Linked DNA regions of Cricetulus griseus. The protein of the gene in region 3 interacts with the protein of the main gene of each other region in a biochemical or structural test. Links are inferred from orthologs where the notes say so. Each region holds a gene or a part of one and is shown on either strand. Other genes may lie near its edges.

Evidence for each region. The genes of interacting proteins can lie anywhere in the genome.
Region 1: the proteins of transcription factor AP-1 (region 3) and Ets1 form a complex in vitro, tested with the Homo sapiens proteins (2 studies listed by BioGRID). The link is inferred for Cricetulus griseus from reciprocal best matches to the Homo sapiens genes JUN and ETS1.
Region 2: of the proteins of transcription factor AP-1 (region 3) and Mapk8, one has a biochemical effect on the other in vitro, tested with the Homo sapiens proteins (76 studies listed by BioGRID and IntAct, with this or other methods). The link is inferred for Cricetulus griseus from reciprocal best matches to the Homo sapiens genes JUN and MAPK8.
Region 4: the proteins of transcription factor AP-1 (region 3) and Batf3 form a complex in vitro, tested with the Homo sapiens proteins (2 studies listed by BioGRID and IntAct, with this or other methods). The link is inferred for Cricetulus griseus from reciprocal best matches to the Homo sapiens genes JUN and BATF3.

Annotation. Positions count from the first base shown.
Region 1 is NC_048597.1:145,110,470-145,117,934, reverse strand, and holds the start of Ets1 (protein C-ets-1), read right to left. Parts: upstream 4,994-7,465; 5' UTR 4,704-4,993; coding exon 4,622-4,703; intron 1-4,621. UniProt on the Homo sapiens protein: Transcription factor. Directly controls the expression of cytokine and chemokine genes in a wide variety of different cellular contexts. May control the differentiation, survival and proliferation of lymphoid cells.
Region 2 is NW_023276807.1:185,962,933-185,970,581, reverse strand, and holds the start of Mapk8 (mitogen-activated protein kinase 8), read right to left. Parts: upstream 4,994-7,649; 5' UTR 4,843-4,993; intron 1-4,842. UniProt on the Homo sapiens protein: Serine/threonine-protein kinase involved in various processes such as cell proliferation, differentiation, migration, transformation and programmed cell death.
Region 3 is NC_048595.1:53,809,963-53,817,396, reverse strand, and holds transcription factor AP-1, read right to left. Parts: upstream 4,982-7,434; 5' UTR 4,113-4,981; intron 3,996-4,112; 5' UTR 3,892-3,995; coding exon 2,887-3,891; 3' UTR 2,149-2,886; downstream 1-2,148. UniProt on the Homo sapiens protein: Transcription factor that recognizes and binds to the AP-1 consensus motif 5'-TGA[GC]TCA-3'.
Region 4 is NC_048598.1:3,923,893-3,931,465, forward strand, and holds the start of Batf3 (basic leucine zipper transcriptional factor ATF-like 3), read right to left. Parts: upstream 4,994-7,573; coding exon 4,905-4,993; intron 2,706-4,904; coding exon 2,603-2,705; intron 1-2,602. UniProt on the Homo sapiens protein: AP-1 family transcription factor that controls the differentiation of CD8(+) thymic conventional dendritic cells in the immune system.

The sequences.
Region 1 (7,465 bases), on a different chromosome or scaffold from region 3:
GAAAGGATACACATCTAGATGGCCTTGCCTGGAGACTCACTTTTGCCAAGCTGTTCAGGGCACTTAGGTTACGTTTCAGCTCAGGGAAGTCTTTCAGGGATGGCACAGAACCCCTGTAGTCCCTGAATCTCCACAGCATCAGCCAGATCTGCCTTCTTATATAATACAGACTGTGGCTTAATTTCCAGGGTTGCTGAAAATAATACAATGCTTTGCTTCAGGTACAAAATGCCTGCCGCATCTCACCAGTGTCTAAGTGTCTAAAGCGTAGCCTTAGAAAAGGTATGTACTTCTATGAATATCACTTTCTTCACCTGAGAAATAATGGAATAAATAGTATTTCCCCTAGAGTGAGTGTGAACCAAGTATGCTCCAGCATGTGAAGGCTGTAGACATACAAAGCACACTCAACACACATTTCAGAAACTCCCTACAACAGTTAGTTAACAAGTATCTACCATCAACATAAGCTCCTGGAATGCCATCAAAGCTACAGCTTTCATTCTGTCTATAATTACACTGTTGCGTGTGCCAATGGGAATTAGCCGCCATACTCTGAAGCAGGGAGAGTCTTTCCTGGAAAATCCTGGCAGCCAGTAACCAGCTCTTGCTTTTGCAGAAACTGTGGTGGGGCCAAGAGTAAGCTGGGTTTGGGGAAGTTGACCACTGGTGCTTTGTCTCCTAGAGAGAGATGTTCCTACAGGGTGGTCTGGCCTCTTTAAGAGGGGGGAAAATGCTACATGGACAAGAAAAAATACAGCAACACAAACCAACCAAAAATGCCAGGAATGCAAGCTCTACCAACCAAATAAATAAATAAAACGTGAGATACTTTATAATAACTGGACACATTTCTCAACCTAGTAAAATGGGAAAAAAATATACTTTTCCTCCAACTCTGCAAATGTCCCCCCACTGTCCTTGGACTTCTTGCTTTGAGTGTCACTGACAGGCTCTATCACCCAAAGAAATACACCCACCTCTAGATCTGGTGCAGTGACAGCTGGGCTTCCCAGACAGGCTGAAAATGAACTGCTCACCATACCTGCTGTCTGGAGCTCAGAAGACAGTCTACTTATGTGAAATTCCAGGCCAGGAGATCTTCTTCTCTGCTGTACTTTCCTCCCCAAGTGGTAGATTTGGGGCACATATATAAACCAACCTCCAGATTCCCTACCAAACCTTCCAAGGTCTTGTGAAAGTTCTACACTAGTCAAGGTTTCTGTTGACTTGCTTTTTCATTAACTGTTCAACAGACTCCATTACCAGTTCGGCACTGAGTTAAGATTTTCCACATATTCGGGTTTCATCTTCATCCAAGGATTATTACACTCATTTCATACATGCAGGAGCTGGAGCACAGGGAGATTAAGTAGTCTGCCCAAAGTCACACAGCTACTAACTGGGGATTCACACCCAGACAAGCTGTCTCCAAAGTCCCTGTCCAAACCACTGGGCTATTTAGTCACTAATATGTGGTAAGAGGGGATTTAGAAACTCGGTGAGCAAGCGATCCTAGCAGCCCAGCAGCTCCCCCCTTCTTTCTGGTTTGCAATGGCACAAAGACTGTCCAAACTAAGAAAGGACAAGACTTCTTCCTATCTCGAAGGACAGTAACAGTCCCCAGGAGATGGATATCCTCTGTCAAAGTGAGATGGAAGTAGGGGCTGAACATTTTAAACCTTATAAATGGGCAAACAGCCAGGATGAAAACTGTTCCTCTATGGCTGCCATCTTCACCTCACCATAAGGTGGAGTGGTATGGGAGGGAGGAAAATAATGAAGTAGCATTTGCTCCCACACCCTGCCTCCGTAGCCTCCTCCCCTACTCAGAAAGAAGCCAGGAACAAGTCGATGCTACCTTTGGTTTAAACCTATATAAGGCCTAAAAGAGGTGTGCAATGAAATAGTATGTCCCACTTTACACTTATAAGGGAAATTGAATGCCAATGTTATTTTAAAGTATATATTAATTTGATACTTGATGCAGTCAAAATCCTGTCAAACCTCAATATAAAACCAACGTGAACAGAGGTTCTCAGTCAAGTCCTAACCACAGAGAGACTGACAAATATTCTAGTTCTTCTGTCTCAAAGAATTTGGACCCTCAGACTTCCCACTGCATCTCTTTGAATCTAGGAATCTATGGAGAGGGCAGAAAGGAAGTTCTGGTTTAATCACACCCCCTACTAGTTGTCTCTACACACAAGAAACTAAGCAATACAACAACAACAAGAAGATCATGATAAAGGTCATGATAAACACTAAGGTCACTGTTCTAGATGCAAAGCCATGCAGCTGAGACACGGATGTCCTATATAATTTGATGGTCCAGGTAAAGCTGCACCTAGCCTCTTAGCCTTCTTTTAGTGAAAGCTGCCAGTCCTTGCCAGGGTTTCTTGCATCTTTGTACTTGAAAACTGAAGTCTCCATTGACATTTCTCTGCTGAGTTTCCAAAGGTAACTTGCAGTATTTCTCAGTTTTATACACTGACAAGTTAGAAACAGAAATTCATCTCTCTTCAGCCACTGGCTCTGTGGATAATTTTGCCTAGTGTCTTTACTTTTCTGTGCTTCTAGATCCCCCATCTGAAGTATGAGCATAATATTTATATAAATGCAACTAAAATCCAGAAAAATGTTAAAAAATGGTTTTAATGACCAACAAATCATTGTTCTTCATTTTCTCTAAGAAAGTATCAGAAAACAAAGAAAAGTCTCATCATAGTAAATGACAGAAAACACCTGACTTCTTGGACCAAATGAAATTGTGTTGCTTTGTTGCATTGTTGCTTTGTTGCATTTAGAAAGCCCGGCTTGGGAGTTTTTTGTATTTTGGGAACAGATCTCACTATATTGCTCAAATTGGTCTTACATGCACCAGGTTCACTTCTAACTTGAATCTCTTGAGCACTCTTCTGATCACGAAAGCCAATGTAAAGGTACTCTGTATAGCAAACACCGACTGCTATGTTAGGCTGCCCAGCTCTATTTTACTAATGGGACAGCTCAATAAAGTTACTTGCCCACAGTTTATTTTTATCAATAACTAAAGTAATAGCATCGAATGCTTTAAAATCTCAAATATTTAATATTAAATTACCAAAAACCATGCTTCAGCTGTTTGCTATGATGTAAAACACATGCTGCAAGGGACTCTCATTCACTGCCAGCATCAAAGTCCCACTGTAGGCATGTGAACTGACATAAATATGCACGAGGGTTCCCAGATGCCCAAATCCGTCTCTTCCCCATAAACACACGTAGCACATATAAACAAGCCATTCTTAAGGAAAGGGCCTATTAGTTGAGTTTATATCTTTGCTGGCAACTATCCTTTCACTTCTGCTATATATGGTTTCAATCAACTGTGACACAGAGAACTCTGGCTCCCTGAATATTCAAAAACAACCTTCACGGCATCATTTCTACCTGCAGCTGAGTGCCTAAAAGGTCTCCAGGGCTCGAGCAGAGGCCTTGGTGTGGCTCTGTCATCACACTGGGACAAGACACAAGTCCAGCTTTTGTACAGAGCAATCCCCGTTGACTGTCAGGAGAGTCTGGGTGGGGAGGACCCAAATGTCCTTATTAACATTTTGAAGCATGCCTGAATGTCAAAACCTCATCTTGGCATGTGCTGAAAGTTTAAAGAAAGGGTTAAAATATGCAGTTCTTTATGGCAGAGAAAAAAAGGTTGGGGACAACTGATAGACACAATAGAGGTGTGTATTGTGACATCTGATTAGTTCCCAAAATGCATCACCTTCCCCCTGTATCCTTTTATAGCCTTTCACCTCCAAAGTCACTCTTCTCTGGGGCCAGCTGCAGACTCCCTATCCCTCTCACACTGTGCTAGCTTCAGGAATCCTCAAGAGTTGATTCCATCTGTTGAGCACTAAAATTCCTTCTAAGACAAAATTCAGTGTCTTTACTGTCCCTCTCTTCTTTAAACCCTTTAAGCCTGCTAAATGAAACCATGAACCAAGGACACTAAGTCACATCTGGTGTTAGGATGCTTTCCTTCTTCTAGGACCTTTGGTACCAGAGGACAAAACATGGCAGAATAGGAAGCCAGTAAAGTTTGTAACCTACAGAACAGGCGGGAACCAGGCTTTCTCAAAGTTAAGCAGTTTAATTTCATTTCTCCTCCCACTACCTCCTCAACCTACAAAAGAGGAGTGAGACTCTAAAGGACGTGTGACAGGGGCGCTCAGGATGCAAGAGCATTGGAAATGTCCTCAAGGGCCCCAGCAGTTAGCCCAGCACTCGCAGGGACCTCCCATCAAGCTCCAATTCTGGGGAGACAAGGAGTTAGGGGGTGACCTGAGAGGCAGTGTCAGGCTAATGTGAAGGAATACTACCAAAAGGTTTAGCTTATGTGGGAAAATTAGGGCGCTGGAAATTCTATAAGCTTTTTCCCATTAGTCACAAAAAAAGCAGCTGTGAAAATAAATACACCCCCCCCACTTAAAAAAGAAAAAAGAACCCCACACACAAGGGTCTTGGGCCACCAACAGTCCTCCTGGCCTCTGTATCCTTGGCTCCTGAGGGAGCAGCGCAACCCAGAGGGGAAGTGAAGGGGACCCAAAGCTGGGGTGGGGGTCTCGCTGTCGCCACTCACCCGGGGAGGGAAAAAGCTCCAGATCCACTTTTTCTGTCTTGATGATGGTGAGAGTCGGCTTGAGATCGACGGCCGCCTTCATGGTGCCGGGAGTTGAGGGGGCCGGCGGGATGAGAGCAAGTTTGTTGTAACTGCTGTTTTTCTTTTTAATGGGGATTTTGAAACCCGGGGGAAGGAGACAGGGCAAAGCCCACTTTCTTCCCTAAAATCTCAAATTCCCGCTGACTGCTTGCCCCGCGGGAAGGTGCGCACTCAGCCGTCCGTGCGAAGTTGGCACTTGGCGGAGCAGAGCGCGCGCTCGGGTCCCAGCCTCGCCCGCTCGCCCGCTCGCCCGCCCGCCCGCTCGCCCGCTCGCTCCTCGGTCCCGGGCGCTCGCTCTCCTGGCCGGCGCTGGCGCTGTGCAGCTCGCCTCCGCTTTAGGGCGTTCCTCGCGGAGCCCAGGCCCGGGGTCCCAGCGCCTGCCCTGCCCACTCCACGGGGCGGCGGGGGCGGGGCGGGGGCGGGGCCTAGCGCCCACAGCCAATCATCTCCCACCTCCCAAAAGCGAAAGGAAGGGCGGGTGCGCCGGGCCTCCCAGCTCAGCCCCAGCTATTCTGCCCGCAGGGCTAGGGCCTCAGGCCACCGCTGGCGAGGAAGGCTGGCGCGGGTCGCTGGCGTGCAGGGGCTGCTGCCACGGTCTCGGGAAAGTCCGTCTGATTGTGCACGCATTCTTGAGGGCTTGGTCACCGCTGCGGCCCGCTCCGGTAGCAGCATAGTTTTCCAAGTGCGTGTACATCATATTCATTCACAAAGCTTGACACACAGGACGTGAGGCTTGCTTGGGTGCGCACCGAGGGGGCGCGTGCGGGGGATTCCACTGCGGGTGTTCTGGGACGGCTTCAGCTGAGATATGACTCAGAATCCCACCCTTGAAATGGTTTAAGTGACAAGGGCAGCATTGGTGAGCAGGAACCCATAATCAACGTCACTAGCACAGAACCAAGCCTGTCAGAGACCTCCCAAAACCCAAGCTCCGAAGCCCCTCTATCAAACCGGGGAGTCTAGAACCCATAACAGTGTTCCTAATTATTCTGTTTCTCTAACTGTGTCACCTTGGCTGACGCTTTGTCTTTCACACTCTGCTCTATCAGAAAACTTCCAACATCCTTTTCTCTATCACCACATCCCCCAGCACACTGGTGTGAGTCTCTAAGGTTCATCCCCAGCCCACAGAACCACAGTGCACATCCTTGTCATAGCTGGGAACTGCCAACACTCCAGATAAAAAGGCGAGCCAGGCTAACCCATAATTTGCCACTGATAATTAGCTATCATACATCAAGGTAGTTGGTACTCATTAACAAATCATCCAGGCCATGGTAGTGCATGTGGAGCAAGGCATTTTGATTAAAAGACAACATAAATCTTCCTGAGCAACCTCAGGGAAAGCTATTCTTAGTACTGTTTCCTGATTTCTAAGCATGTGATGAACTCCCACCACTTGCCTGCAACTGTAACTTCTGCTCTAGTAAACTTCATCACACCTGCTAACTTTCATCTAAACACCCACCCCCACCCCTTGGGCTTTAGCAGTGTACAGGATTCCCAAAGCAAATGGTGGGGGGAGGGGAGAGAAAGAGCAATAGAGTGTCAATCTCTGGATCCTGGTCCAACTTCCAGGCTCCACCCTTCTTTGGTCACCAGAGGAAAAAAATATGCATATATGATAATCCTCATTTTCTTTTTTGAAAGAACAAAGACTGTTACAGTCCAGCTGTGTTTCTGCAAGGTATGAGAAAGCAATGCTGGCCTCCAGATGACGAGAACAGACACTTTGGATCCTGGGAAAAGCTTAGGGAACCCACTGATGAATGGATTATAGTGGATTGTACATTCACACGCCCAAATTGCAGCAAGGAAACTGAACAAGCTAACAAGTTTCTTTGGTGAATTTCATTTTGTTGCTTCAGTCTTATGAAAATGCTGGAGAGTTTTACTCTATTTGCAAAAGTAGCTTTCTCAGGATCCCTCCTTGCTCCCCCCCCCTCCCCCAGGTCTCTTCCTCCACTAAACTAGTGTCTAGTTACACTATTGCTTAACACTTGTGCATGTGAGACACTTAGAGAAGCCCATGTTTCTACCCTGGAAACAATGGAATATGTTCCTTGTAATCCTTCCACAGTGCCCGTCAACCTGTTGATCTCCCTGTTCCTAACCCTGTCCAGAAGTGTGGAAGCTCAAAATGTTCTAATGTCCAGATCAGAAAGTGGGGTTGGTATGATACTGATGGCAAATGTCTCCAACATCACAAGTCCTGCGAAGAGCCCTGGATCTGGTTGAAACTTCCTGTAGGATGAGAAGCACTGAGAGAGAACCAGTTAAGATATTTTTACATGTTTGGGACATCAATAATCCAAACAGGACAGAAATTCAATTAATGTTTGACAAATGGAATTTTTATTCTCCTTCTAACACAAGTAGATTTTTTCTCAAACATTCTTAAGGAGTTTAAAAAACATTACTACATTTTACTTATCAGGAAACATATGCTTTGCCCCAAGCACTTTATGGGACACTGGCAGTTGGCTCAGGATTTATTCCTAGTGCATGAACTGGCTTTCTGGAACCCATTCCCTACTGAGGGATACCTTGCTCAGCCTGGATACAGGGAGGAGGGCCTTGATCCTGCCCCCAGTGAAGTGACAGACTTTGATGATTCCCCATGGGAGGCCTCACCCTCTCTGAGGAGTGAATGGGGGATGGGTTGGGGAGAAGGTGGGGAAAGTGGAAGACAAGAGGGAGAGAGAGAGCTGGGATTGGTATGTAAAACAAGAAGGTTTTAAAAATAAAATTAAAGTTAAAAAA
Region 2 (7,649 bases), on a different chromosome or scaffold from region 3:
CTTCATAGTTGCTATCCATAAGAAGGAACAAGAAATCTGATATAACATTGGTTGTAATCCCAAAAACTGTACAGGAAACTAGTAACTCTAATGAACTGCTGTGGTTACCAGGTCTCTCATAAATTCGAATTCTTCAAGGGCCCTCAATAAAATTAAACATAAAAAAAAGATGAGACAGCATTCCATTCTCTTCAAATGTGTTACATGATTAGGATTATTTCCAGCTCCTAGATTCCTACTTTACAGATATTTGCCAAAATAAATCTAAGAAAGCATAGGGAATACTCTGTGGTGGGAAACAGCTTTTTTAAAAAGCAACATGGCATTGTACCAGATATTATTTGTTTTTGGAATGTTTCCAAATTTGAGGCAGAGAGGATTACTGGTCCAAATGTTAACACAAAATAATTCCAGTCAATTCAGATTAGTTGAGATTTTCAAACTTTAACAAATCCACTAGAGATGTACACAGAAACAACTGGTATATCTGGAGAATCTGACTATGCATCCTACATCAAAATTATTTTATTGACATTTTATACTCATTCAAAGCTTTAAAAGAAAAAGTGAAAACTCTAAAACTTCCTGGATGCTTTATCTACCACCCCAAAACCAAAGCAGTCTCATGCATGGCCTAATTTAAACCTCAGGACCCTGTGAGATGTGTGATATTATTCATCTCATGCTAATAATAAAGCAGACTAGCTATGTCACAAAATTAGTTACATTTGGAATATGGATTAAGACTCAGAGATGGTCCTAAAGTCATTCTGGCCATTTCCTAAGTTTTAGTTCCTAAACTTTTTAACGAATTGGCAAATTTTAACCAAATTTGAAAATCTCTGAATGCATAATAGGAGACACAGGTATCTGCTCTGTTTCATATGTACATCATAACATAAAGAAAAGAAAGGCACAAATTTCTCAAAGTTCTCTCACACACAAATTCTAAAAACTAAATTTCAGTGAAATTTGGCCTGTTCAGAGATTTGCAGCAGGCTTTGGTAGGGGGAAGCTTTTCACAGATCCTGTAAAGGAGCATAAATTCACTGGGTCATGCCTTAAGTCCCATCTTTTGACCATAGCTTCTTGGGGTTAATGAACCCTCCATTTTCACATCTTCCAGTCTTGGACAGTATTTTATCAAAAGGCATGATGCTGTGAAACAAACAGAATTTGCCATTCAAAGAAAACCTAGCTTACAGCAAAAACTGTACAAGTCTGATAATGGAGACAAACTAACAAGTTTTTCTGATACTTACTTTTCTTGACTGGAGTTTTCTAGTCACTTAAAGACTCCAATGAACGTTGGGCGGTGGTGGTGCACGCCTTTAATCCCAGCACTCAGGAGGCAGAGGCAGGTGGATCTCTGTGAGTTCGAGACCAGCCTGGTCTACAAGAGCTAGTTCCAGGACAGCCTCCAAAGCCACAGAGAAACCCTGTCTCGAAAAACCAAAAAAAAAAAAAAAAAAAAAAAAGACTCCAATGAACAACTTGCAGCAGGCTCATACTTGCTAATGACAAAGTAACAAGGAACATGAGTATGATTCCTGGACTGTTTTATTCCAGGAATTTATGACAGGGTGACTCACTTCGGTACTCCTGTCACATTTTAGTAAATTCTGAATCCCGACTCTTTTCTAAACCTAAAGCTCAGGAGAGCCACATCAGGGTAAGAATGTACAGCTCCTGGATGTTCAGGTAGTGACTGGGTCTGAGACAAGCATCACAGTTCAAACAGGCAAGTGATTCATGTGTAAAGCTCCAGGGTTGTGACTCCCTTGCCCTACATGAATCAGAAAGGTCCATACTACTGACTCTATCAGTCTTCTAGAGGACAGGAACCTTAATCAGACTAATATTATACTTCTACACCTGCAGCAAAGCATCTCAAATATGGAGATGACTCAAATCTGTCACCTGACAGGCAAAGCACGGCAACAAGAAGCTGGCTCCTATTTAGCAACCCCTCAATTACCACTAGGATGGTTTATGGCTAGCTATTAACAACAAATTACTGTTTCACTGGCCATCTAGTATCTTCTCCAGACCATTTCCATAATATCATTCATAGAACAAATAAGATTCTAATTGTATTCATTTTGGTAACAATTTATTCTTTAGCTTTTGTAGCCCAGACTGGCCTCAAACTCATCTTGTCTTGGCCTCTCAAGTCCTGGGATTACAGGCATGTATCACCACATATGGCTCAATTAACTCTTATACTAAATTTCCTTTCCAAGTAATTTCTCTAAGGATTAAAAGGAGCATGAAATATACAGTTTCCTAATATGCCACGACAGTTAAAGGGTACCCTTTTCATTAAAGGGACTTATTTATTAACAGAACCCATACTCTCTTCCTTTCAAACACCAGACTGCTTTTTTTTTTTTTTTAAGGGGGTTTTCTTTGTGGTACAATGATGCTCCAGAATGGTATAGTAGTGATCAATGCATAATTATGCAAGTAGACTAAACACCACTAAAAAATACTCTATGAGAGCCACTCTTTATGTGAATTAAATCTCAAGAAAGCTGTTTAAACAACAGAATTTAGAAGACAACCTAACTGAATTTATGCAGAGTCTGTCTGTGTGTGAGCCACTCAAATGATTTCTTAATTCCAGAGTCCCTTCTGGAACCTCATACACTTAGCTAGGTAAAGCAATAAAAGTTTGGTGCCCCAAGGTCTATCACTCAGAGTAATAGAATAATTTCCTTATTTTTCCATTCTTATTCTACAGTAAATAAGTTCATCTGAATGACTTTTCATATCGAAAAGAAATATTTTTTAAATAGTGGAAACGTGCCAAAACTTGGATAAATTCATAGTATTTTGCATTTTAAACCCATATGCTCTGTGAGATAGATAAGTACAAGCTAAAACCTGACCTTTCCAGTAAGCAACTCTAAAACATTAACCAGCTCTAGACTATTAGAAATAAAATATCTGTAAAACACATGTGGGTGTTGTGCTTTTCTACTCAAAGAAATCATAAAAACTTGTGAAATAATAGTGGGAAAAGATACATTCCCTAAAAGTCTGGGAATCTGGGTTTGATGTCTAGAACCCACTTAAAGGTAAAAGAAAATCAACCCCACAAAGTTGTCCTCTGGCTTCCACATGCACACAGAAGTATGTGTACCCCCTGCCCCAAAAAACACACCATGCACCCTAGATAGTAATTTTTTTTTTTTAGGGGAGAAAAATGAAATCATGTTAGATTCCTAATGAAACACCACTGTTAGGTCTGGGTTCATTCACACATCTGGCTGGAAAAAGCCCTTATCTAAAATATTGGAAGTGAACAAAGTACCCAACTTTGATGACAAAGTACCAAGTGAATGCCCCTTATCTGCAAAGGACTGTAAGTGTTTCAGATTTTGGAGTATCTCCGACTTTCAAGTTATGGATGCTCAACTTTTACACACATACTTAACAGACCCCCCACCACACACACACACAACACAATTTTCTACTTTATTAATTATATGCAAAAAATTCAGGGGTGGTCTTAAAATAGTGAATGCCCTGGAAGTAAAGCATAAAAACAAAAACAGTGATCCCAAACCCTCTTTTATCTTAACAGGTAGTATCCTCTACTAATTTACGATGCAGCCAACTGAGAGTGATGCTTGACACTTCTCAAACTTCGGGGGTGGGGGTGGGATTTAAAGCTTCCAATTTTCCTCTATAAACTTTTTTTTTTAATCAACTCAACGTGTATGACTTCCATGCTAGGTGCTGGAGAAATGATGCAAGATAGGCATCGAAGTACCATTTTGAGTGCTTGCTTTCATCATACACAGCAGTAAACATGTTCACTCAGAGAACCTGACCTCCCAGGTCTAACAGCCTGAGGTAACCATTAACAACGACAAGAAATTAGGGGAGTGGTGGTAAGATTTAAGAATAATGGTGGTATATTTAAGCAAATCTAGCTCTTCTTCACATTACCTATCACATTACCTTCAGAAGTTCTAATAAAACGAGGCAAATACCTTACTTAACATATATCACTTATATAACAGTCTTATTTAAAGGCACATCTATTCTATTCCAAAGTACCCTATTCGTAAGGGTCTTTCTCTTGGCCTTCACATCCTCTCCATCTGGATACAGTACTAACAGCTGCTGAATGAATGAATGAAATAAACAGATGTTCTAACTGACCAAAAGGTACTTGGCGGATGCTCATCTCAAAACACAATAGGCTGACAGACCAGAATTCTACTGAAAAGACCACTTGATTTCAGAAGTAGAAATAGCAACTACTGGACACCGTGCAGTCAACATGTTATTAAATTGCCGGTGGTATAGGGAACTTTCGGGAATGAAAATGCAAGGTGTTCCTTACGGTACTTTAAAATGGACTTGGATCTACCGTGTCTGGACTGGGAATCCAGGCACAAGACAAAGAGACAGCGGTGGGGGAAAGTCAAAAGGTCAGCGCCAGGAGCCCCTCTGAAGGCGCGGCCCGCAGGCCGGCGCGCTCGCGGCCACCCGGCCCTTCACGGCGTCGCGGCACTCACGTCCGCACAAAGAAACCGCCCACAGTCAAAACACGCTCCCCGTGGGTGCGGGAGACCTATGTACGGTCGCGTCGGCCCGATCTCCGCGAGAGCACCTCCGAACTTGCCGCCCACCGGCTCCATTCTCCCCGCGCAACGTGGAAACCGGCCAGAGTGGAGAAGCCAGGTCGCGCCGAGTGGACCACGCCCCCCGCTGCCCCGCCGCCCGCGCTATTGTTCCCGCGCCGCCCCCGCCCCGCGCGCGTTCCCGGAGGGGGTCACGGCCGGGGGAAGGCGGCGGCCGCCCGGGCCGCGGAGCCCGCGCACTCACCCGGCAGCGCAGCCAATGGCGACCGGGAAGCCCGTAGCGGTGAGCGGCGCCGTCCCGCGGTGGCCGCGGCCGCTACTCAGCCCTGCTCGCGGCTCCGCGTTCCGGCCGCGACGTCCGGCCTCGGCCGCTCCGCTGACTAACAGAGACGCGGGTCGTCAACGCGCACGCCCGCCCACGTCATCGCGCAGGGCCCCGCCCCCGCGCCTGCGAGCGGCCTGGGGGCGGAGCGGCCCCGGGGGCCCGGATTGTGAAGGCGTGGCCCAGTGACCGGGGGCGTGGCTACATTGGAGAGCAGGCGGCACTCGCGGAGGTCGCCGCGGGCCGCAACTGGGAAAGCCGCGTGTGAGGGGCGTGGCCGGGAGCAGCAGGGGGCGGGGCTGCGACGGCACGTGGCGGCGCGTGGCGGCGAAACACCAGTCATAGCCTAAGCCTGCTGGGCTGCCAGCTTGTGGAGGGGCGTTAGTGTTTGAAGGTCAGGCACGCATGTCAGTGCACACACGTGAGCCACGGAGAATCCTACTTGGACAGCCACTCTTCCAAGGCCTACCACCCACCAATAAGAAAATGTTCTCCAGCTCCCTGGAAAAAGTTACCCCCCCAAAAAATAAATGCTCCAGATTCTTTGCATTACCTGATATACCTCCAAAGCCTCGTGTCTCCTGCAAATATTAGCTATGGACTGATTAACTGGCCAGCCTAACCACCCGACAATGGATGGAAAGGCATTTAAATTACTATTATTCATTCAGTAGAGTATATTTATCCCTTTAAAGACAATGTGTTTGTTCAAAGGCATTTTTACCAACCAGAGAAAGTAACTTATAAGAGAAGGGAGCAAGAAACACGTACACATAGAATGATTACACATATATAAAAAATACATTACATGCACAGTATATACAAAAAAACATGGAAAGGAACATGATAGGTGTTTTGACAGTGGTGAATAAAGGGCAGTCTCTCCTGTGTGGTATCCTATGATTTCCAAAAATATATAAATATTTATCAAATAAAGTCAGCTGGATTATTATGTTCCAATTACACGTTGAGATGCTCTGTTTGCAGTGATGTGGTCATAAGGCAAATGTGAGCATTCATCCATCCATCCTCTCCCCATTTCGTCTCTCTCAACAATTCTTTTATTTATTTATTTATTTATTTATTTATTTTTATTTTATGTTCACTGGTGTTTTTTGCCTGCATGTTTGTCATGTGAAGGTGTCAGGACTACTGGAGCTGGAGTTGCAGATAGTGGTGAACTGCCATGAGGGTGCTGGGAATTGAACCTGGGTCCTCAAGAAGAGCACCCAGTGCTCTTAACAACTGACTCATCACTCCACCCGCCTCACCAATTCTTTATTTCCATACTTCCTTTATTTCTCCAGTGACTATTTTATCACTTGCCCATTCTCTTAAAGGCAGTGTTCTAGCACTAGCAGCAATTAGATCTTTCATAACAGAGAATTTCTGTTATGAAAGTAATTATACAAAACGTAAAAGTATCAACGTATAATACAAATTAAAAGGATACATCAGACTATGAAAGGAACCAATATATCCATAAGACCAGGAATGTTTTCTCCAAGGAAGTGCCTGCTGAGTTGAGAATAGGTTTGACCAGGCAGAAATTTTTGTCAGAGTTAACTTGTTGTATGAAGGTCCTATGATGAGAGAGCAGAGTAACCTGAGGGAATTGAGGACAGACCAGCTATTTTGGAATAGCAAAGAAAAAGAAGTTACAAAATGAAAATGAGAAGACTGAGAAAAATTTTTGTTGAAAATGTTTTATTCCAAGTGTAATTGGAAGGCCCTGGTGTGTCTTCAGCAATGGATGGTATGATCATTCTGATATCAAGAAAGATTTCTTATTGCAAAGAGGCTTTTCTAGATTTTTCAAGATAGAACTCTTCCCCACCTACAATTCTTAGTAAAAACTTTCTTTTCTTCCAGAGTATGTATGCCATTTATAGTTCAAAAGGTGCTGCAAGACATTTGTGTGTCCCCCATGGCAGAGAAGACAGCGTTCTTTCCTTGACTTTTTCCTTTGGGTGACTTTAGGGAAGACCCTCTGTTGTCCCTTCCCCCATCTGGTCCCCTGGTACCCTTCTCCTTATCCTTAAGATGTCAAACTGATATTCATACCAGATGGGCAAGCGTTTATTCTGCCAATAACCCTTGACAGAGGGACCCCTGTGAATTTCCAACCTTTGTCAACTTTCTGTATTTTTTGTTTTGTTTTGTTTTTTCCAGACAGGGTTTCTCTGTATTGCTTTGTAGCCTGTCCTGTAACTCACTCTGTAGACCAGGCTGGCCTCGAACTCACAGAGTTCCTCCTGCCTTTGCCTCCCGAGTGCTGGTATTAAAGGAGGGCACCACCAAAGCCCAGCCAGCCAACCTTTGTCAAAAGTACTTCAATTAGAAGTTGAATTTGAAACTGCTCTTTCTGGTGCCATTAAGTAAAAGGAGATTCTAACATCACCCTGTTAAAGTGTCTTTGTGAGTGGCGGGATTTTGAGGCCCTAACAAGACTAATGCTTGTGCCTGCTGTTTCATTGCCAGGGGCCTATAATAAGACAGGATTTGTCTCACCTCCCTGACTCAGAGATGAGCCCGGAGGCCCTCTGATGCTAATGAAAAGCCACTGATCCTTCAGGAAATCAGAGGTTAGAAGGCAAATTGTTCTCTAGTACAGAGGGATAATCAAGACAGACAATGAACTATGTATTTCAAAAGAGCTAGCAGAGGGCATTTTGAATGTTCCTTCAGGAGGAAATGATAAAAGTTTGAGGAAATATTGTTACACCAAG
Region 3 (7,434 bases):
AACTTGGGGAGAGAAAAGATGTATTTTGGCTGCACTTGTAGGTTGTAACCCATTGTCAAAAAAATCAAAGCATCAACTCATACCAGGACACCAAAGTAAACTTAAGAGAACAGGTGAGAGTGATCAAGGGAACCAGAATGAAAGTCTGACCAAAAGGAAGAGCAGAATAATATGACCAGAAGCTTGGAAATCTAAAATGACAAGACCCAGACTCAGACAAATAAACTTCAGATGATGACCACGTGGCATCTGATTTGGGTCAGAGCTCTTAGAGGGTAAAATAAAAGATAATACTATCTCCATGTGGACATCCCTATTGCTTGAACAAACCCTCTGTCACAATAGTTAATAGTTTATCAATTAATAATACATATATACATTTATATAACTAAGAAGTGACTAATGACTTTATATGCCACTGGCTTCATCCTGAGTGCTGCCTGAAGTATAACACATTGAAAGTTCATAATAGAATTGTGTGTGCAGTAATTAGCTGATTTTCTGCTGTTTAAAGTTTACTGGATATCATTGTTGAATTTCTTCTATTGCCATTATTTTTTTTCTACCTCTTTGGGTTAGAATAGTCAGAATTTTAAGAATGTAATTCAAAATATTAGTTGAAAGGGACAAATGTGGATAACCTTGAGGACTCTTTTTTTTTTTTTTTTTTTTTTTTTTTTTCCTTTTTAGTCAGATGAGTGGCGTGGCATTTCTGCATTGTGCTGTTGTTGTCTGGGCCTAGTCTAGCACTGTAGGCTATCAGTTCCCAGCCTGTATACTTTTCTACTTTGCACTTGTTTAACTTCCAGAGCCCCACCCTGAAGTGCTTCATTGTCCCTTTGCTATTCCTAAATATGGTCAAAATCAACTCACCTTCCGGGTTGCTGACACCAGCAAATTTACTGTTTGACAAAAGTGCCTTGGCTCCCAGTAAGTCTTTGTTTAAAAAGTATGGAGCCCGTCCAAGCCCCTGCAGACCTAGATGTACTCCTGAGAAACTGTATTTGGATTTACCACCACAGGCACTCCTGAACCTGTTGAATACTGGAGCACTGCTAATGAGCAAACAGCCAGGCTTCAATTAGTGGTTGGTGAAGTGTTTCTGGGTATCAAATTGCTTTTGCTGCTTGATAATCTCAGCAGCTCACAGGAAGAAAAGGAACCAGGCAAAAACTATTCCCTTGTTAAATACAAACTTGTTGATAACCTATTGTATCTGTAGACACAACCCAAGTTTTCAGTCTCCCCAGAGCTGAGGTTTAGATTATGGATGCATTGGGCCCATTACAGATGTAATCAGTGTTGGGCCCACACTTCTCTTGTGAATTTGCCCCCATAGCATTTATTATAGCATCTTCCTAGACTGGCTCTATAATTATTTAAGCCAGACAGATTATTTTGAAACAAACTAAGAAATAAACATGGACTCACTTCATGGGTCACTTCCTTGGTACTGGGGAGAGATGAGGGGTGGGAGTGGGAGCAAAAGGGAAAAGGGAAGGAGGGAGGGTTGGAAGAAAAGATCACCCAGGCTTCAATTTAGTTTGACTCTTCCTAAAGTCTTTGCTTCTAAATTACTAAGTTTAGAATACAGTAATGTTAACCCCAGAAACTTAGAAAACCTTCAGTATATAGTTTAGGAATAAGAGTACCAAAGGGAAAGGAATTCAAGATTTTTTGAAACCATTATTTGAATATTTATTGTGACAAGAACGCTGTTATAAATATGCACAAGCAAAGGCCATCTTTCTCTAGGAATTGTCAGATTCCAAGTTGGAAGGAGACATCTTCTGTAAAAACTTGCATGGGTTTCTGCTTTGAGAAGAAGCATCTATTGCTAAATCTCTATGATTATAAACGAGCACAGCACATGCCACTTGATATAGCTCTAAACTGAAGTGCCTGCTTTCTCTCTCCCTTTGCAACATCCCTGTTTTCCAGCCTCTAGAAACACCATAGCATCTTCTGGTCAACAGTCTGGACTTGTGAGTTGCTGCGGGAGAGAGTATGACCCTATGATAGCATGCAGGGCATCTATTCCTACAATCAAACAGAGAACACAGCTTTTACTCTAGCGAATTTGACATTCAGCTGTTATTCCATCTAGCTACTATTATCTATGGATAATGCAGCAAAGAGGTTGGGGGCTACTTTTCAATAGTTTATTGTATTTTCTTAAATATCCTTTCTGGAAATTTTCAGAAACAAAACATAAAAAAATTATATACTTTATTACAAATGGTAAACTCAGAATGCTTCAAATCTCTTATTTACAAACAACACTGGGCAGGACACCCAAACAAACAAACATGGAATAACTTACAAAGGCAGGAAGCTGTTTATTGACAGTAATCAGCTTTCATCAAATTAAAAAAAATATATATGTACATACACAGTTGAGGAAGGCAGGCCAGGGGAGTTCATCTGCAGTCTAGCCTGGCACTCACGAGCCTCCCTCCCCTCCCTAGCCCTCCCTGCTTTGTGTTCTTAAGGAGCACTACAGAAGCAATCTACAGTCTCTATTGCAGTTTGTAACCCCTCCCCGCCCCCCTTTAATACTGAATGAGATCGAATGTTAGGTCCATGCAGTTCTTGGTCAATGTTAACGAAAAGTCCATCGTTCTGGTCTCGCGGGCACAGCCCGATCGCAAAGCCTAGCAGCCAACAGGCCGCCGCTCTCTGGCTCCATGCCAAGGCAAGGCGCGCCACGTCCTTCCCACTCCAGCACACTGGGGGCGCCGTCAGGACGCAACCCAGTCCATCTCGTGTACCCTTGGCTTCGGTACTCGGGCACTTTTTTTTTTCTTTCGCAACCAGTCAAGTTCTCAAGTCTGTCTTTGTTATATTTTTTTTCTTCCATTGCCCCTCAGCCCTGACACTCTGTCCTCAAAACGTTTGCAACTGCTGCGTTAGCATGAGTTGGCACCCACTGTTAACGTGGTTCATGACTTTCTGTTTAAGCTGTGCCACCTGTTCCCTGAGCATGTTGGCCGTGGACGCCAGCTCCGAGTTTTGCGCTTTCAAGGTTTTCACTTTTTCCTCTAGCCGGGCGATCCTCTCCAGCTTCCTTTTCCGGCACTTGGAGGCGGCGATGCGGTTCCTCATGCGCTTCCTCTCCGCCTTGATCCGCTCCTGAGACTCCATGTCGATGGGGGACAGGGGCGGGGTCTCTCCCGGCATCTCGGGCACGGTCTGGGGCTCTTCCTTCAGGGCCTGCAGCCGCGGGTGCTGCACCGGGATCTGTTGGGGCAAGTGGTGCGGCGGCTGAGGCGGCTGCTGCTGCTGCTGGGGCTGCGACGGAAAGGCCAGCCCGGCCGCGCCGTAGGAGGGCGCCCCGCCGCCGCTGCTCAGCGCACCCGGGTTGAAGTTGCTGAGGTTGGCGTAGACCGGAGGCTCGCTGTGTAGGCTGGCGCTGTAGCCGCCGCCGCCGCTGGCGCCGGCTACCGAAGCCACCGCGGGAGCCACCATGCCCGCACCGCTGACCGGCTGTGCCGCCGACGTGACGCTGGGCAGCGTGTTCTGGCTATGCAGTTCGGCCAGGGCGCGCACGAAGCCCTCGGCGAAACCCTCCTGCTCGTCGGTCACGTTCTTGGGGCACAAGAACTGGGTGGGGGTCGGCGTGGTGGTGATGTGCCCATTGCTGGACTGGATGATCAGGCGCTCCAGCTCGGGCGACGCCAGCTTGAGCAACCCAACGTCGGGCGACGTGAGGAGGTCCGAGTTCTTGGCGCGGAGATGCGGCTTCAGGTTGCCCACCGGGTCGGCCAGGTTCAAGGTCATGCTCTGTTTCAGGATCTTGGGGTTACTGTAGCCGTAGGCGCCGCTCTCGGACTGGAGGAACGAGGCGTTGAGGGCATCGTCGTAGAAGGTCGTTTCCATCTTTGCAGTCATAGAACGGTCGGTCAGTTCACGCGGGGTTCGTCTGGGCTGCGCGCTGAAGTTTCGGGGCCGCAACAGCGCGCTGGGAAGCGGGGGACACCCGCGCGTCCCTGCGTCTGTGACAAGTAAAGTTTGTCTAAGAGCGCGCGCTCCGGTCGGCAGTGCTCCCCCCCTGCGCCCTCCTCCCCAGCTCGCTCCAGGGAGCGCAGGGTTAAGGTACCGCCTTCACTCACGTTGGTCGGCTCCCGCGCGCTGCCGGGCTTTGAAAAGTCGCGGTCACTCGCGGAGCGCTCTCGGGTAGTAGCAGTTCCTCGGAGACCGCAGACCAGCTCCAGCGACAGCAGCTCTCCGGCGGCGCTGACCAGTCGTCACGGAACTGTCGGTGGAAGCCCGCGATCGGGCTCCGCCGCCCGGACTCCGACAACTGTCCCCTCCTCCGCTGTGAGGGGGAGGGGGACGCTCGGCGGCCGCGGCTAGCGCTCGCCCAACTTCAGCCGCCTGTGCGAGCGGGGCTGAGTGTGGGTTCTTCCTCTTCTCCCCTTTCTTTACGGTCTCGGGGGCAGCCTAAGGCGCTGAAAAGGTTTGCAAAAGTTCGCTCCGGGCCACTTGTTCCCGGTCTTCTGGGTCAGGAAAGTTGGTGGTCGGCGTAGCCGCTCGCCTATTTCCTCGCTCGGGCAGGCACCGCTCTCGATGCTGTCAGCAGCGCAGGGACTTGCGAGCTGCTTCTCCGGGGAAGGCGGGAGAAGGGACTCTCCAAGTGCTCCCCAAAACACCGGTGCTGGAGCCGCGGGCGCTGGGTCCAGGTAGTCGGTGAGAAAATGAAGACAAACAGATGAGCAGCCCGGAGTCCGCGGCCGTCCAGATTGGCCGAGAACGTCCGTCCTTCCTTCCGTCCGTCCCGCTCTCTCTCTCTGCCTCTCTGTCTGAGCGCGTTCCTGCCAGGACGTCTCTGCCACACTCAGTGCAACTCTGAGTCCTTCTTATCCAGCCTGAGCTCAACACTTATCTGCTACCAGTCAACCCCTAAAAATAGCCCATGATGTCACCCCAAGGCCTTCCCATTGGCCTGCGTCGCTCTCAGGGGGGCGGGCCCGCCTGTCGCCATGGAGACCTCACCCCAGAAGATTCTTCTCTGGGCCCGCGAAGGCTCACGGGATGAGGTAATGCTCCGCTGCGCTCCTACAGTTGGGCCCTTCTTTCTCCTCCTCCCTCCCCCTCCCGCGCGGCGCTCAGGCTTGTGTTCCCGGGTTCCCTCCCCGGCGCGTCTTTCCCGGCCCGCCCGGTGCATTGTGGGCTGACGTCTTGGTTTGGCTGTCTAGTGACGGAGGCTGCCGGGTCGGCTGGACCCTTGCGGCGTCTGTCGGAGGCGGGCTCAAGTTCAGGGTTGGGGACGGGGATCGAGACACCGGCATCCAGAAAGCTGGGGAGGCTCGCTAGTGGCCCCGGGCGGAAGGCCTGGGTGGGGAGTGGAGGTGGCGCGCGCGCACGCACGCACACACAAGCACACACACACACGCACACACACGCACACACGTGAAGGGGCTGAGCGACCTGAGCTCCAGCAGGCTCTGCACCCCCACACTTCCGGGAGGCAGCGGCGCGGGTGAAGATGGTTGTGTGCGCCCCGGGTGCGGGAGCGAGAAAGTGTGTTGAAGTTGAACGGGCTTGAGTGTCCCTCCCACGTTGAGCACGCGTGGAAGTTTATCTCTTGGTTAAGTTCCAGAGGAGGATCTGTGCCGCTGTGTGCTCTACCTGGAAGCTAGAGATTTGCGGTACTAAGAACCGACTCGTCAGGGTCCTCGGCACAACACTTCACCCTCTGGAGACATGCGGGGAGGGGCTCGCTTTGCCTCAGAGGGACGCGCTTTCTAGACGTGAAATAAAGGGGCGACCCCAGCATCCATGGGGGTCAAAATCAACATTTAAGGGTTCAAAACTCAGGAAACCCCAGCGATCGCCTTTGCCCGGGCGCGTCTCGCGCATACGCAACCCGCGCCCGCCCTACCCCCCACCCCCCAGCTCCTGATTTGCTTCTGGGAAAACAAGTCTTGAGAGCCGCCGCCGACTCGCCCGAAAGTCACGCTGCCTAAGCGGGAGTCCCTGGTAGAAGCAGGCTAAAGTCTCCCCTCCCCGCCCGCTGGTGGATTCATATCCTGTGTGGCCTCTAGGAAGCGCTAGACACATGTAAGTGGTTTTTGTCCTAGGGTTCTGCTATCCGACCTCCATTCTCCACCACTTAGGACTAAAGAGGTGGCAAGCTCGGTTCTCTCATGGCCTAACTGCAATCTCGGAACTTCTCTGAGCTTTATTGGCCTCATCTGCAAGTAGAGCGGATGAGGTCCACCGTACCGGGCTGCCAGGCGTTAGTATTACCTTCCTTGATGCCGGTACTAGAAGCTGGTCAACTCACTGTCCCCTTCCCTGCCGGCCTCGGCATTCCCCCTGGGCCTTCCCGCCGTACCAGGCTACAGGGCTGTGATTTGGCAGGAACTGGTGAGCAAGGTAGCAAAGGGCTGTTAGCCAGCTCTTCCCCAAGCCTCCTTACAGCCCAGGACTTGAGGTTTGGAGTTGGACCTTAAGTCCGGAGGTTCTAATTCGGATTTTGCTGCCTCAGAACTCAGCCCAGGGTTTGTATCCTGGAGCCCTAAGATATTTTGCCTTGAGAATTCAGAACCCAATAGCAGCTGGTATCGGTGGGAAACTGGCCAGCTCTTTTTCACTCCGTGTGCTCACTTTGCTTTCACTCAGGCTGCAGAGGGTAACTAACTGGTTGCTGCCAGCCAAGCACTGACCTTTGTGGGGGCAGGGTAGGGCAAGGTTTCTGTGAAGTCCAGATCCATTTACTTCTCCCAAAGAGAGAACGAGTTCCCCTAATCGTTTTTGTCAAGGAGCTCATATTCTCCATGATTTATGACAACAGTAATAAAAATAAGTTTTATCCATTAAACACCCACTATCTACCAGTTAGTCCAAGCAGTTTAAGTATGCTGTTTTTTCCCCACAACCATCTTGAGAGGCATACATTTTTACCTCGACTTTACACAGGAGGAAATAATTCCAGAAAGTACATGTATCTTGTTTGGGCTACACGGACGGCTGGAAAGTGACCTTAAATCTGTGTTACATTCCTTTGTATTTTCTCCACTCTGGCAAACTTTCCCTCACAGCCTTGGTTATCTGCTTGGGAAGTGGTGCTGATGCCATAGAAGTTGCTCTCTTGTTTCTGTATTTAGAAACTCCCAGGCTTAGTCTGCCTCCTGTTGCTTAGGAGGCTAATTTTCTACTTAGGTTAAGAAATAGTACATTTCATTCAAGGCGAAAAGGATGTACTCTTGTCAATGCCTCTGCTTGCCAGCCGCAGTGAACTTCCTCTTTGCCTGGGAGAAGGGGTTTTTCAGCCAATGCTCTCTAGTCTCATCTCACTGGAAGCTCAGTTGGGAAGGGCTGGGCTATGCTACCCTAAACCCATCATCCCAGAGGCTCAGTCAGTGTGTTATTGTTTCTTGCTCCCTCCCACTGCTTGCCCATTGTGACTGAGCAGGGAACTCTGTCCAC
Region 4 (7,573 bases), on a different chromosome or scaffold from region 3:
TGTAGGTTTACACACCCCAGTCACGGAAAGCACAATCATGGGGGTAGGTAAATGGCACTGCTGTGGCTGAATGTGTCCGCCAACTGGCTGGCCTGAAAACTTGGTCCCCAAACAGCAACACTGTGAGGGAGGACCTTGGGGAGATGAGTCACAGATGCTATGTTCTCATGAAGAGATTAAGTCATTAACTGGTGGTTGGGCTACCATGGGAGTGGCTGCTTACAGAAGCAAGTTCTCTGATTTGTTTGCTGTCTGGGCCTTCGTGCCCTCCACTATATGAACACATAGCACAAAGCCCTCACTAGGTACAGAGCACAAAGCCCTCACTAGGTACAGAGCACAAAGACCTCACTAGGTGCAGAGCACAAAGCGCTCACTAGGTGCAGACCACAAAGACCTCACTAGGTGCAGAGCACAAAGACCTCACTAGGTGCAGAGCACAAAGACCTCACTAGGTGCAGAGCACAAAGACCTCACTAGGTGCAGAGCACAAAGCCCTCACTAGGTGCAGAGCACAAAGCCCTCATTAAGTGCTGTGCAGATACCAAGTTGATGCGGTTCCGTATTCTGAAACTTCTAAGCTTCCAGACCCTGAAGCTTAGAAGCCAATAGTCTCTTTTTTATCGATGACCCAATCTGTGGTATTCATTAATAGAGAAAACAGACCAGATACAGGCTCCTGATGTGAGAGATAAGCCAGGCGGTTAGGCGCCATGAGCCGCCATGTGGAGGTAGTGAGAAGAGAAAGTCTTGGTGAAGAGACCACATTCTGCCACGAAAGTGCTTGCAGGGAGCTTGCAGCAGAGCCCCAGGGGATGCCTCAGCCAAAGTGAGGTCCTGACTGAGCACTAGGCCTGCCTGTAAGCAATGTGTGGATGGTTAACGCTGATGAAAGGACAAGTTAGTAGAGAAACATCCCACCACACGATGAGAAAGCAGCCGAGTATCAAACCTTAATCAACGCCAACACCTGAGGAAAATACAGATGCTAGGTGGTGGTGGTGGCACACACCTTTAATCACAGCACTTGGGAGGTAGAGGCAGGCGGATCTCTGTGAGTTCAAGGCCAGCCTGATCTACAGAACGAGTTCCAAGACAACCAGGGCTACTCAGAGAAACCCTGTCTTGAAAAACAAAACAACAAAAAAAGAAGGAGGAGGAGGAGGAGGAGGAAAGAAAGAAAGAAAGAAGGAAAACAGACAGAAAGGAGAAGGGGAGGGAGGAGGAGGGAGAAGGAGGGAGAGGCAGAGAAAGGTGGCACGCCTGTGATCGCCGTACTCGGCAGGCTGAGGCAAGACGCAGACTCTACAGACTACATAGCGAGACCGTCTCGAAAACAAACTATACCAAAACAAACAAACACCAGAGACCCCACAGCTTGGCAGCAAGCAGGCACGGCAATGGAGTTTACATTTGATCCACAGGCACAAGGCAGAGAGGGAGAGCGCTAAACCGGGAAGGTGTGGGCTTTTGAAACCTCGAAGTCCACTCCCAGTGACACACCTCCTCCAACGAGGCCACACCTCCTAACCCTCCCCCAATGGTCCCACCAACTTCCATACCGAGCATTCTAAGGTATGAGCCAATAGGGGCCATTTTCATTCAAACCATACACGCAGGTGAGGCAAGAATTTGAAAAGGAATTAAAAGCACAAACAGCCATTTTGTTTAGTGTTTTCAATTTTTATTTTTGGTTGAAAGAGGGTCTCAGGTAGCCTAGGCTGGACCGCAAACTTGCTGTGTTGCCAAAAATGGCCTTGAACTCCTCATCAGCACAAGAGCCACCTCACCCAGCTTCTTTTCTTTTATTTATTTATATTTATTTATGTTCTTTTTTGAAACAGGGTTTCACTATAAAGCTCTAACTTGCCTTGAACTCACTCTGTAGACTAGGCTGGCTGCAAACTCACAGAGATCTGCCTGCCTCTGCCTCCTGAGTGCTGGGATCAAAGGCGTGTATTATCACTCCCAGTAGTGTGAGTGTGTGTGTGTCTGTGTGTTGTGTGTGTGTCTGTGAGTGTGTGTGTCTGTGTGTTGTGTGTGTCTGTGAGTGTGTGTCTGTGTGTGTGTCTGTGAGTGTGTATGTGTCTGTGTGTGGTGAGGCTGACCTTGGCCTTCTGTCAGCCTCTACACCCAAGTGCCAAGGTAACAGGCATGCACCGCCACACCTGACTTATGGGGGATTCAGTCTTTACCCAGGACATCTGTGTGTGTACCAGGCAAGCACTCTACCGAAAGGCTTCCCCAATGCTTTACTTTTTACTTTTTACTATTATTATTGTCATTTCTTGAGACAGTCTTTCCCTAGTTCAAACCAGCCTCAAACTGGGTATCCTCCTGCCTCCACCGAGTGCTGAGGACAGGTGTATGCCACCACGCTCAGCTTTTGTTTGATTCTTTAGTGACAGCAAATGCAATGTGGGAAGCACCCAGAGGCTGGCTTGAAGGGAAGAGGCCTGTGAACAAAGAAGCAAACCAACAGGCTGGAAAGACCCGGCAGGATACAGAGTTGTGATGAGCATGGTGACATCATCACCCGGCCCCCTCCCCGGGGCACAGGACGGCTGTCCCTGTGGCAGTCCTGCCCTGACCACAGTCTCACCTCATGGAGCTTGTCAGCTTTCTGGGTCTGCTTCTTCCGGCTTCTCTGAGCAGCAACCCGGTTTTTCTCTCTCCTCCGAACCTTCCTGTCATCATCCTCGGGGCTCTGGGACATGTGGAGAAGACACAATGTTCAGTCCTCTCAGCTTTGCTCACAGAGCTCCACCGACGGTACCCCCTGTACCGCTAGCCAGCTGCTGCTGGCCCTTGTTAAGAGGCGCCCCGTCCGTCCTGGGGCTTCGCTTTATGTTCATCTCCACCCCCCATCCTGAGAAATATGCACTGAGACTGTCATTTTTAAATGAGGAATAAGAGGCCTGGGTGCAGCCTAGTGGTGTCACGTTTGTGTGGGATACGTGAGGCCCTGCGTTCCATACCCAGTACCACAAAAAAACAAAAATACCAAGAGACAGGAATAAGAAACTCAGGTTAGGGAAGTTCTCCAGGTATCATGGCCAGCGTGGGGTGAGCGGGAAGTGGAACTCAGGTCTGCTGGTCTCCAAACCAACGTTCGCTCGCAAACCTCTGCCCCACAGGGCGTTTGCCTGGAAGAGCTGTAGTGTCACTGCTCCTCTGAGAGTGGGAAAGGCGGGGTGTCTGCCCTCTGAAACTTGCTGGGCACCGTCTTTACACCACCGCACACTGGCAAGACCTTTTAAAACCGTGCAGACCATAATCATGCATTTATTACTAATTGCAGCCACATAATTCTACCAGTGCGTAGAACGCCAATGACGACATGCTCACTTAAACAATGCTTGGCTGACATTTTCTTTCAGAGGTCAGGGTTATTCCAAATGCAAATTTGTGATGTATCTTGAAAGTTCTTAACCAAATATCCAAAAATTCTTCATAAGGTGGCATGAAGTGGGCAGGCAGAAAAACTTATTCAGTGGAAAAAGTTTGCTTTCCAGAAATGCATTGGAACCATTGAGGGATCGAAAAAAAAAAAAAAAAACCTTCAAGATTTAAGTCCAAAAGGCGTCTAGAAGGGGAGGGAACTTAGAATAGGCTCAGGGTGTAACCCCAGCACAGGTAAGAATAGACAACTTGCACAACAAGGGGAGTGACATGGAGACTCTGTTCAGCAGAACAAAGAAGGGTGCCAAAATGTGTCTTCTAGAAGTCTCCCTCTCCCTCTCTCTCCCTCTCCCTCTCCCTCTCTCTCTCTCTCTCTCTCTCTCTCTCTAAACAGAATTTCATGTAACCCAGGTTGGCTCTGAACAACCCCCTTCCCCCTGCCTCCCTAGCTCTGGGATTATAGGCCTTCATCACTATGTCCAGCAATCCTAAGAGCCTTGATAAACATCCAGGCGGACAGGCAGTATTAACGACAGAACTTCAGCATTATACCCTCACAGATCCTACTATAAACGCAATTCACCCATCCTTCCAATGTGTACATTAACTAGGAACCTGTCATGTACTCAGAACTCTGTTAGTCCTTAGGGACAGCTGCCCTCAACAGTGGTCGGTCTCGGCTGTTGAGGCTGGCCTGTAACGCACAGATTTTGACCTCTTTATTCTCCAAAGCCAACAAGTCTCAGGGCAAGGGACAGCATGCCTCCTGTCCTCGGGATCTGTCCCTGTAAACTGGACCTATCACCTGTCACAGATGATCACACCTGCCCACTCGGCAGAAATCTTGCGCGGAGATACAAGTCCTGCACAGCTCAAATAATCTGTGCAAAAAAAAAATCCTCAGGAGTTGATGCTACAGGGTTCAACTTATAGATAGGGAAACTGAGGCTCAGAGAGGCGAAGCAAATGGTACCTACGCGGCTCAGACTTCGGAGTAACCCCAGGACACTACATGTCAAGCATGGATAGAATTGGGAGTGCGGGACTAAGAGAAAACCAGCTAATTGTTTTAACCAAGAAGGGTTCCGACAGCTGTCTCAGCTTCTTTGTGGTGCAGCTGTGAAAGTTGGGGACAGCAGAGGGGGCTGATCGGATAGGGGCGAGGAGTTTCCACCTGTGCTGGGGGGTGGAGTCTACCCACTAGAGGCACAACCCCACACCGGCAGGCTGACCTGTCCCACGGTCCCCGTGCTGACCTTAGCGGGTGGGTTGGATGCAGGGACGAACCGCCCCTTTGGGCTGAATTCCCAGTATCGGCCCTCTCCCTCCAGCGTGGGCAGTGGGCAAGGACGCAGTGGCCCCCAGCAGCGCGCAGACCCACGTGTCCGGCGCGGGCAGGCGGGCGAGTCGGGACGGACTGCATCCTTCCAGGCGCCCGAGGGAGGCGCGCGGCTGGGACGCACGTCGGGCGGTGCCCCCACCCTGTACTCCCCTCCCCTCACCCGGCCTCCGCGCCCACTACCTGCGGCTGGTTCCCAGGCGCTGCCACACTCCTCTGCAGGACGCTGCCCGCCGGGGGCCCTTGCGACATGCCGCGCGCTCACCACACGGGGCGCCCTGAACGCGGGGTTCTGCTACCCGCGCTCCGCCCGCATCCCCGCACCTGCCGCCCCGCCCCACCCCGCTGCTTCCCGCTCTCCCGGCTCGGCTCGCCCGCTCGCCCGCCTCCCCGCCCCGCGCGTCCCGTCCGGTCCTGTCCCGTCCGGTCCCCGCCCCCTGCTCCCACCCCGCCCCGCTTCCTCCTCTCCCCGCCTTCTCGCCACACCTCACCTCGGGGTCCAGGATCCCACCTAAGTCACTGTTTTCCGCTAGGGGCCCTGTGCTTCGTGGAAGTCACGTGGCAGCCCCGAAGCCCACCCACTGGGGGAGAGGCCCGGTGGGTGGGGACGGGGTGCTGGCCCGGCACAGCCTTCGGGGTCCTCCAGCCACTCTCAAGGAGCTCGGGTGAGAAGCACCCGAGGCTTGGGTTGGTGGCTTCCCTGTCCCAGCGCGGGTCGCCGGCAATGGGGGACTCTCTTCCGGGAGAGGCTGCAGCTGGACCACGCTCACTCCCCCTGCAGCCCAGAGGCGCCAGGGGGCAGCGGGCGGGCGCCCTCGGGCTTCTCTACCAGGGCGTCGTCCGGTCCGGCGGGAGGAAGGGGCAGGGAGGGGGCGGGGTGACTCCGAGGGTGAACTCTGATGGGGGGGCGGGGGGAGGGCAAGAGGAGGCTGTGAGCAGAAACCACGAAAGGCGTCCGTGTCTGCCACGCTAGACGTCCGCCGTCGTCACTCATTCGGGGATCTGGGCAGAGCACTCTAAGGTTCCGTGGACCAGTTTGCTTCTTCAAGATTAAGGTGGCACCTGGCTAAGGACTGAGACATGCGGCTGCAGTGCTCCTGCCAGACCATGTAGAGGCAGAGCGCCCCCTTCACCTGCCTGGCAGTTTTAAAATTGCGAAGTCAAGATGACCGTGCCCAGCAAAGAAAAACAAAAAAACAAAAAACAAAAACTAGCGGTTGCAGGTTTGTGGTGTGCACACAGGGGACGATAGCTAACCATGAGCTGGGGAGGCGGGTGGGAACCAGACAAGAGGGGCCTTCCTGGGGTTTTCGTTTTGGCCTTCTGGTCTCTGGGCAGTATGGGAGGTGGCCTTTCTGAGTCCCAACCCCGTGTGCACGGCTCTCTTCCAGGATTTAAGAGGGGAGCTTGTTGAACCTGGCTGCCTGGCTTCAGGCACAAGAGGAGTCGGGGTGTCTAAGTGTCAGTAGGTTGGAGGGTGGACAGTGTCTACGTGCCTCAACCAACCAACCGGCAGAGCCTTTCCATACTGGGTGTTCTGCGTATATTTCAGTTTTGACCCCCTTCCATCAACAACATTGTGTGTGTGAGAGAGAGAGACAGAGAGACAGAGAGAGACAGAGAAAGACAGAGACAATTATATCTCACACAGTATACAGAGTACCCAGCATAGCACCCTGAACTTGGTGTGGAGCGGCCCAGGACCTCTGTTCTTGAAAATTGAAATGACTCTATTAATTGAATGCAATAACAAGCTGCTTAGATGATTGGAAGTCCCGTCGGCAGTTCTCTCCTGCTGTTCTCTTTAGGACCCTTGTCTTCTGTTGCGTGCCCTCTGATGGCCTTTCTCAGGGGACAGCCCTGTGGGCTTCTGGGGAGGCTAGGGGAGAGAACCCCAGGATAGAGACCGCTGCATTCACCGAAGACTAGCCACTGTGGAATACTTTCCATGTGGTCTGCTTCATGATGGCGTAGAAAAGCAAGGGCTGGAAGAAAGCGGGCCCTGGGAGAGTGTGTGCGTGGTGTGTGTGGTGTGTGGTGTGTGTGTGTGTGTGTGTGTGTGTGTGTGTGTGTGTGTGTGTGTGTGTGTGTGTGTGTGTGTGGTGTGTGTGTGTGTGTGTGTGTGTGTGTGTGTGTGTGTGTTTAAATGGAGATCAAACAAGTCTCCTCTGCAGGCCTGTGGGGACACCTGGAGGATGTGGTCCACGCTGCATCAACACAGAAGCAAAGGTCTGTGGAAGTGCCTGACCATTCAAGAAACTGCAAGAGATCCTGGGTCTGAGCAGAGAGGTGTGGCATGATCTGACTTAAGTTGTCATGGGCTCCTGTTGGTCACCTCACAAAACAGTAGCACCAAGTGGAGACCCAGCATCCAAAACAGGAGCCTGTGGGTGCCCTTCCAAGCGGGAACAGTAACATTTGCAATGGATATTTAAATCTTAGGAGCAAATTGAAAGCAACAAAAAGAGACACAGGAGGTAAAGACCATGATCCAAGAAAGCTGGGCAGGGCTGGGAAGATGGTGGAGGCCAAGGCCAGGCTGCAGGGAGCGTGTTGAATGGAAGGTTCACAGTGTCTCACTACCATACCCTCCTGACCCAGAGTGGGCCTTGCCCGTGTTTACCTGGTGAGTGTGTAATCATGAATGCATTGGTTACTTTTGCTACACATTGAACAATATGCCTGTCAGGACGACCAAGGGGGCCCAGGGAGCTCGCTGGGGGTTACAGTGAAATGGAGGGGAACCGTGAAACTAGAGTTCAGATTCCCAGAATCCTTATAAATTCACTATAGGTGTGGTGGCCTACCTGGTGGTCCAGCTTTCGGAGGCAG